Linked DNA regions of Schizosaccharomyces pombe. Changing the gene in region 1 together with any one later gene gives a genetic interaction. Each region holds a gene or a part of one and is shown in the gene's direction. Other genes may lie near its edges.

The links. A genetic interaction does not mean that the proteins touch.
Region 2: mutations in nic1 (region 1) and php3 together harm fitness less than expected from each alone (positive genetic interaction), as found in Schizosaccharomyces pombe (one large-scale study listed by BioGRID).

The regions. Positions count from the first base shown.
Region 1 is NC_003421.2:41,528-47,537, forward strand, and holds nic1 (plasma membrane NiCoT heavy metal ion transmembrane transporter Nic1), read left to right. Parts: upstream 1-2,015; 5' UTR 2,016-2,317; coding exon 2,318-3,544; 3' UTR 3,545-4,167; coding exon of another isoform or gene 4,168-5,385; 3' UTR 5,386-5,458; downstream 5,459-6,010. Other genes in the region: SPOM_SPCC757.02C (epimarase), read right to left, coding at 4,168-5,385.
Region 2 is NC_003424.3:2,143,673-2,146,945, forward strand, and holds php3 (CCAAT-binding factor complex subunit Php3), read left to right. Parts: upstream 1-2,008; coding exon 2,009-2,107; intron 2,108-2,254; coding exon 2,255-2,315; intron 2,316-2,370; coding exon 2,371-2,498; intron 2,499-2,653; coding exon 2,654-2,716; downstream 2,717-3,273. Other genes in the region: SPOM_SPAC23C11.07 (uncharacterized protein), read left to right, coding at 1,222-1,554. UniProt on the Schizosaccharomyces pombe protein: Belongs to a complex that binds to the sequence CCAAT located upstream of genes involved in mitochondrial electron transport.

The DNA.
Region 1 (6,010 bases):
TCCTACAAATGAAAGGTTCTTTGCTTATTCGAATTTAAAAAAAAAACTTGAAGTTTATAAGGCTAAAGATTATAAAAATATTAATTGAGTGATTTTACAAGTACATAATCGGTTATTGGGAATATGCGGTAGACGACATTATAAATATTGCTTAGAGTCACTAAAACAGCAAAATACTTTCACATATTCTAAATTTAATCAAAAAGTCAATATACCTGACTGTTATTGTAAAAGATAAATTCAGAAAATAGTTGAATATATTGATCGTTAGAAAAATAGTGTGAAACAAATTTAATCTCGCATTTTTTTACCTAACAAATAGAGACGAAAGTGCATTTATCTAATTTACGTTTCAATATTGAAATTCTTACAGTCTACTCATTATTTCCTCATTAAAAGATCGACTTGGCACTGAAAACAAATGAACCGCCGATATCCTATATTGTTACAAAGCATATGCTTATTTGAAAATTTCACAAATTTTATTGGGTATCCAATCTATGTGGGCATAATTAAATGTACATAGCAATGTAAAAATCTCTCTTAAGTTATCTCAAAAAATGAAGCTTTTCCGAATATTGAAAATTGAAAACAAGATAGAAAATATAATTTTAAACAAATGGGGCCAGATATTGCCATTGTTTTGACCTAATCTTCAATGACGACACTAAACTTATTAAAAGAAGAAACTGAAATCCTCTTAATGAACTGGGGGATTACAAGACTTGAATCATTGGTCAAATAAATGATTCACCGACCATGCAGTAATGCGAAATATAAAGAACAATGTCGTCTTTCCTAAAACGATGAAGAAGGAAAGTAAAGATGTTCCAAATATTTACAACCATAGGAAGTAACCAAAAGAGGGTAGCCAGTGAAAAAGTTTTTATACTTTTTCGGGTAACCAAATTACTAATACAATAACATGCTTTTGGGTAGGAAAGCTAGTCATCATATTAATAAAAGTAAATGATGATAATGATAAACATAATCACAAAGAACAAACGATAACTTGTAAAATCAAGATTTGTATCGTTGTTTTATCACGCTGTATTTTGTTGAATTTTAATTCATTACGGAAACGTGCTTGATGACACTCATAACCGCATTTAACCTTTTGTTTAAGATATGGATACTGACAACCTCTAAAGATACTGGTTTATTTGTTTTCCCATTTTTCAAGCTAAAATCCTGAAAAATGTTTAGCTGTATGAATGGAAGTGAGGTTATGAATTTCAATTGACAAAATAGTCTCAATATATAGTCGGGTTTGTTTACATTTACTCATTTTTAGTCTTTATTCATGGACCCAATCGGAAAACGTTTGATGTTTACCTCTCAGTTAACAACCTATAATACACCGTTACGACACCACATCAAACTTTATGCATCGTTTATGCGGTGTGAGATCCAATTAACTTCTTCCTTTGTTTATTCATCTTTTAAATGCAAAGTTTATGCTTCAAAAGGCGATATTCAATTGGTTTGTTGTATCAATGCGATAAAATAATTGTTTGTTTACATTTTTGTAGACAAATCAGACGAATACGGTGTTGTATGACATTAGCGTTATGTAATTTATATGTAAGCTACGCAGTTTGGTATCTGATTTAAAGATACGTAGAACTGCGGTGAGTTTTCCTTGTGATCTATTATATTACAATACACAGGTTGTATAAGTAGCAACTGAGTATAGGTATTGTATTAACTGGGTTATAATGTTACCTATCACTAATATAGCTCATAACTGAACTGAGGAACGAGGTTCAGCAGTAGCTCTATTTATAGTATTCAGATAATATTGATCTTAATAGATTATCATTAAGATCAATCTCCATATCGTATCATACATGGTACGATATATAATTAGAACATGTGACATATAGTGATACTCAACGTAGTGTATCATAGCGTAGTGTAGTATTGCTGACAATAAACACGTTTAAGCATCACCGCCATATCGGTCGTTGCTGCTTACGAGATGAATCTGCGACACGTGAATTAAATATGACTTTGATAGGTTGCACTACAGCAGTATCCTTCATGATCGCTTTGATTTTACCCTTTGAAATCACCTGCTCATCTTTTCTACACTCTGCACTATTCAATTCTTTTACCATTGTGTTGAGGATAGGAACTTTGTGAGTCAACCAAGTTCGTTTCTCACAAACTCAAGCGATTTACTTCCTTTAAAGTAAACTACTACAGTGCGTTGCAGAACTGTTGTGATATTAGGTAAAATTGTTATTATTATTGGAATCCTAAGTGGATACAGGTTTATGTGAACGCAATCTATTCAAATTACGCGTTTATTTGTATGAACAGTATGTCTGAATATGTTAAACCTAGAAAAAATGAATTTCTAAGGAAGTTTGAGAATTTTTATTTCGAAATACCCTTTCTATCAAAGCTTCCACCAAAGGTTAGCGTGCCTATCTTTTCTTTGATATCGGTAAATATCGTAGTTTGGATAGTTGCGGCAATAGTCATCAGTTTAGTTAACAGATCGTTATTTCTCTCAGTTTTATTATCTTGGACACTTGGTTTAAGACACGCTCTCGATGCTGATCATATTACTGCAATTGACAACTTAACGCGCCGTTTATTATCAACAGACAAACCAATGTCAACAGTTGGAACTTGGTTCAGCATTGGTCATTCAACTGTAGTCCTTATAACTTGCATCGTAGTAGCAGCTACTTCCAGTAAGTTTGCAGATCGATGGAATAACTTTCAAACCATAGGAGGAATAATTGGAACTTCAGTTAGCATGGGACTATTACTTTTGTTGGCAATTGGAAATACCGTTTTACTAGTCCGGTTATCGTATTGGCTTTGGATGTATCGCAAATCTGGTGTCACTAAAGATGAAGGGGTCACCGGATTCTTAGCTCGAAAAATGCAGAGATTGTTTAGATTGGTTGACTCTCCGTGGAAGATTTATGTACTTGGTTTTGTTTTCGGATTGGGATTTGATACCAGTACTGAGGTTTCCTTGTTGGGTATCGCAACCTTGCAAGCCTTAAAAGGAACATCTATATGGGCAATCTTACTTTTCCCCATTGTATTTCTTGTTGGAATGTGCTTAGTTGATACCACAGATGGAGCATTAATGTATTATGCTTACTCATATTCTTCGGGTGAAACCAATCCTTATTTCTCTAGGCTTTATTACTCCATAATTTTAACATTTGTTTCGGTTATAGCAGCATTTACAATTGGTATCATTCAAATGCTTATGCTAATCATAAGTGTCCACCCAATGGAAAGTACATTTTGGAATGGCCTCAATAGATTATCTGATAATTACGAAATAGTCGGTGGATGTATATGCGGTGCCTTTGTTCTAGCAGGTTTGTTTGGTATTTCCATGCATAATTACTTTAAGAAAAAATTTACACCTCCAGTGCAAGTAGGAAATGACAGAGAGGACGAAGTTCTAGAGAAAAATAAAGAATTAGAAAACGTATCAAAAAACTCGATTTCTGTTCAAATTTCCGAAAGTGAAAAGGTGAGTTACGATACAGTGGATTCTAAGGTTTGAACGACTGGGAATTTCTGTTTCCTTTTTTTTTCTTCAGTATTCTCGATTTGTTCTCTTAACCTGTTGCTTGGGTTAAAAGTCTTTATGCCTTTATCATGATGAAATAGAAACTCGGTTCGATATTGATGATTTGAATAAGCAGACGAGCCACATACATTCGTTTGAGGTCATATAGGTTAAACAGTTGCTAGTAGCAATTTATTTGTGTGAAAAAAGAAAGGCAAGCAAAATGTGAAAAATTTATTCTTTACATATTTTACATGATAACAAAAAATCCTCCTTGGGCCTGGCTTTATGATTCGGGCAAAATACCAGGGCTGTATTTTTTTTAAAAAAATACTGTGTATCGGCATTAGCACTTTGCTTACTCAACTTTTGGAGGCTTGAAAATGCAGGTTTATTCAATATAACATACGGGTCAAATATATTACCCGATGTATTCTAGAATACTTTTATAAAATTCTTGACAAAGAATTGATTTCATTGGGTGATTCATTCATTGCTTGACTATTTGATTAGTAAACTGTCGAAGAAAAAGTTGAATTAGTTTCTTCCATTTCTGAGATTCGAACATTCTTCAAATTTTTTATATAAAATAAAAAATGAGAAATTCATGAGTTCGACTAATTTTGTGGGATTTGTTTCTGTTTTTTTAATTCATCAAATGTCTCTTTAAATCCATCAAAGGTATCATAGTAATCAGTGTAACCAAGCTTCCTGGCTTTGCTCATTGAGGATATAACGTTGTACGTCCTGCCGAACAAAAAATCACAAAACGCCCAAGTCCCAACTTCTAAAGCATGAGCATTGAGTTTTTCTCTTTCTGCGATTGTCCTCCAAGCGTCTTGGACTTTCTTTTGCTTGACCCATTGTTGAAGCGATATTTGGTTTATTATTTTACTATTGGGGGTATGTTTAATGCCGAGCTCTTTTTCGTACAGATTTATGGGAGAAGGTGTACTTAAAGTAACTTCTGTACTTAATGTAAAATCCGTTGCAAATTGGTTTTTTGGTACCTCGACCCCAAAATATTCGGCTATTTTAGGCCAAGTTCTTGACCAACTGTGAATATCTCCGTTTACAATGTTGAATTTCTCTTCACTGCATTCTGCTTTAAATGTCATCCATAATTGAAAATCAGCAATTAGCTTTGAATACGAGATATCATCGAAGCCGAGATAGAACTTTTCATTTCCTGGAAATCGGAACGGTTCATGAAGCTCCCTGCAAACCAAAGCATATAATGCTATAGTGAATGCTTCATTCATGTAGCTTCCTTTTGATACTCCGCAAATATCATTCGGCATAGCTATGGTGTAGTCCCATTTTTTACCGTTACTAAATTCTTTAAGAATATCTTCTTGAACGTAGTAAAAATTTGGAGTTCCACTAAATGTTTCAGGTACTCGTATGTCTGTCTCAATCATTGGCAAACGAACTTCTCCTAAATGTAATCCATAAAATTTTAGACCAGTGGTTAGAATTACGCGTCTCAAAGTTTGAATGGAAGTAAGTTCTAATGCTTGCACAAAGTTTCTCAACATGTTACCGTTAACTTCACACAACTTTTCTTCATTATTTTCTTCTTTATAAGCTGCAAAGTATGCATAATTTATTCCCTTAACCCCCTCGAGAGAAAACTTTTTTGCAATATCTTTGGGTTCTTCATTTAGCAGATCTATGGAATGATGCTTGATTTTTCTAGGGTATTCATCTTTCAACGAACGAGAAATACAGTGTATAGTTTTGCAATTATCATCCTCTGACAGTCTCTTAATAATAGCTGCACCATTTAATCCTGTTGCCCCAGTCACTATAGCCACGTAACCTTCTTCTGCCATTGTGTTTCTAACTTTGAATATCTTTTAAGAAATCTCGCATATATGAAATATATATATATATATATATATATATATATATATATAGCATTTATGCTTTAATTTATACCCAAATTTTATGATCTCATTCACTTTTGCTATATCACTAGTAACATCATCCATACTATAGACTTGTTCTAGTTTGTGAAATTCACAATAGCTAGTGAACACATGTCGGTGTGATAATAACAGTATGATGTTGCAAGTATGTATGGTCATATTTGATTGAGGTATGAAATACAAAAGGTATTTTAATAATGCTGACTATATGTAGGGACGCTGTTAGAGCTTAGCAAGCAAGTTGAATACAGAGAAATCGAGGCACCATTGCAGTGATGCCCCTTGCGACTGATGGAAAAACATAACAATGAATATTTATCTAATTGTTTTAGAACACCTGACTATAAACTGTTAACTTTATGGGAAGGTTGCTTGGAAGGTTGCTTGGTTGGATGGTTAAAAGTCATTTTTGAAACCTCACAAGCTGTTCGTAATTAGTTCAAAAACTAACAATCTAAAATAAAAAGGAAATAATAAATAAATCCAATAAAATCCAGCTACTAACAAAAACAATAAATTGTTCCACTAT
Region 2 (3,273 bases), on another chromosome or scaffold:
ATTGTTGAAAAAGTATTATTTGCAATGAATACAAGTCTTTGCAATACTTTTGAATTTTCTTTTAACAATAGCTTGACTACCAAACTATTGTAGGCAAATGAATTTATTATGTAAAGAAATCTTGGTTAAGTTCTATCCTTTTGCGGACCCTTCACCATCACTGGCTACTTGCCATATATATTATAAACTGCCATTATGTTCTACGTAAATTAGCCTGCGTCGAGGAAACGTAATGAATGGGCGGCTCAGCGTTGTATGGAAATAAGACTAGTTAAGTGTCCTTTAGTAATGCACTCGATTACTCTATGTGACGTCGAGAGGACGGAAGAGTAGGAATGATGGTAAAGGCAAAAAACATATTCGTTCTTTTGACAACACACAGCTCGCATCGCCTTCAATTACCCTTGCCAATGTTGCAAGTGATGATGGGTGAGATGGGATAGAAAGAGGAGCAAACTTTTAATCTGATATATCATTGATGTATAGGAAATGAGAAATAAAAATACAACTAGGTTTATAGTGCATTCCACTGTATAATATAAAGATTAGGATAGATACACATGACTTTTGAAGTGCAGAAGTATAGTCAAGTAGGGAATATAGTTGAGTAGATGCGAGTTGTAGAACAAAACAATTCAGTATACGCAATTTTCCCCTACGGGAACATATTTAGGTATGCGTGCGAATGGAGAGTGAAGATGAATGAAATGTAGAAAAAAAAAACACTGGATTGTCAGTTTTGCCATAAGATACATTTACTTTCTTGTTATTCCATTTTTCTACGAATCTTCTTTGCTAGGTTATTTTTATTAACTTTTTCGCAAACACGATTTTAATAACATTGAATTCCTCTTCAGTTATCAGATGTGAACGGTAAATACCAATTGTGAACTATTTCAAACGAACTTAATATTTGCTCTGTAAGTTGTAAAATAAATGTCTCATAATTATTTCGCTGTCAGTTTCCACAATCGCTTCTACTCTTTTTTTATATTTATATTTATATTTTTTTTTTGAATTAAATTAATTCATATTATTATTTATTTTTCTTGGTTTTCTAATGATATGTTTATGATATTTATAAAAGGATTTATTTATTTGCTTTTTGTATGAAGGATCGTCGCTTGAATGACAAAACACTTCTTTTGCTAGTCTCTCCTTTCCTCTTGTTTAACGTATATCACGATTATTTTGTCAGCGTAAAAGTGACATAGGGATTAGATGGCATCCCACTTTCTTTTTACTGGGAAACCTTGGCTTCAAGAGAAGACGCCTCGCCTTCACCTTCATCCCACTTGGGACCTTAAAGCTTCCAAAAGTCTTGCTCGTTTCCCTTATACGCCACTTGAAAGTCTTTTGGCCCCCATTTCGGCCTTTCACCCCACTTACCTAAATAGCGCAGCCCCGTCGAAGGCTCAGAGCCATCCAGTATTGCTCGCCGCTGGAGTAGGTGGAATAGTAGTTAGATGCCCCAGTCGGAAACCGATATATCGTACCACTCGAATTCAGTATCTCTTGTTAATCTCCCACTTTACAACTGCACTATTTAAATAATATTATAGGCCGATACAGTCAGTCTGCGAATTGCTTGCAACCTGTAGAAACAAATTGCTGTTTCTTTTGCAATAACATAGTGTTTCTTTATCGCAATAACCAACTACTGATTTCTTTCCCTATTGGAAGTAGATAGACGTTTACTTTCTTTTGTGAAGAAGCAGAAAGTTAACGTTAAGCCATTACCCTCGTTCATTGCTCAAAAGGAGGTCATTTCTTTTTATTTGATTTGTTCGTCTTTTAGGATCTTCATCTCCTGCTGAATTATTGGATTTCTTTTTAGTTCCCTCCACAAAGGCTCGAGAATAGGTTATCAGCTGTCGATTTTTGTCAAGGATCGTGCTTGCTAGTAGTCAAACCAATTTTAGCGGGGTTTGTGTACTTATTTTCGTTATTTGAGGTTTCTCTGCTCGCCAAAATTAAATTATACAAGTAAAAGATACATTTAATTATCATGAGCGCAGACGGGTTGGATTACACCAATCTCCTACCAATTGCAAATGTCGCGCGTATCATGAAATCGGCACTTCCCGAAAACGCCAAGATTTCCAAGGTATGCATGATTTGTTGAATTGAGAAAAATCGCATTGTCAGTCTCTTCGATTGATTGATTGCTAGTGACGGAGTAGGTCGCTGTGAGTGCGTTCTTCTCTTTTGTTTTGTAATTTTCATGTTGCAGTGCTAATGTCTGACTTTTTAGGAAGCTAAAGACTGCGTCCAAGATTGCGTTAGTGAGTTTATTTCCTTTGTTACTGGTGAAGGTATGGAATCAATAGCAAAAGCCTCATGTATAGTTATTTACTGACCATATAATAGCATCTGAACAATGCACTCAAGAAAAGAGAAAGACAATTACTGGTGAAGATGTTTTATTGGCTTTAAATACCCTTGGGTTCGAAAATTATGCCGAAGTTTTAAAGATTTCTCTCACCAAATACAGAGAGGTAAGGAAAAATTCTTTATTTGAATGGTGATACGTGTACTTCTACTTCCTTGTTGGCTTAGAGATTTAAATTGTCTCAAGCAATGAAGGCGCAACAATTCATTCACTCATACCAAAATTTCATTCTCATAGTCACTTTTCTAACATCTACTCTAGCAACAAGCAAGATCTGCTAGCATGAAAGAAACTAAACAAAGCCGGTCCGAAGAGCCTCAGTAATTTCCTTATATATTTTGCATTAGCGGGGTTTTCCCTGAAATATTTCCTGACTTTTGCAGCGATCGTCGATCGCCTTATTTGTTATTCCTCTCTCTTTTTGTACTCTCCTGTTTTATCTCTGTTTATCTTACAAATGATGCTAATTTACGAACTATGTTAATTTCTACTTTAACCAAGTTTCAAAGATAAGCACTATATTGCCAAAATGGCCTGTTCATATTTAAAACTTCCTTAATGTCGTCAGTATAAATTTAGCAATTACTATTGCCTGTTTACTTAAAGTGTATTATTGTGATTATCCCTCATTCGCTTTTGCTTACTTTTTCATTTTGTTAATCCTGCTACTGTTAACCTATATATTATTTTGAAAAAAATAGCATTTCATTTTTATTTTTACTCATTTCGTCTATTTCACCGAAATCAGCATAAGACACATATAGTCATTCGGTTCATGGAAGGATTAGCCGATGTTTCCGTAGTCATATACGTATCAATCAATAAATTTTCTTATTGTCAGGAAAGTGTTTAATCCTGCTGTAGCTAGTATGTAAATTACC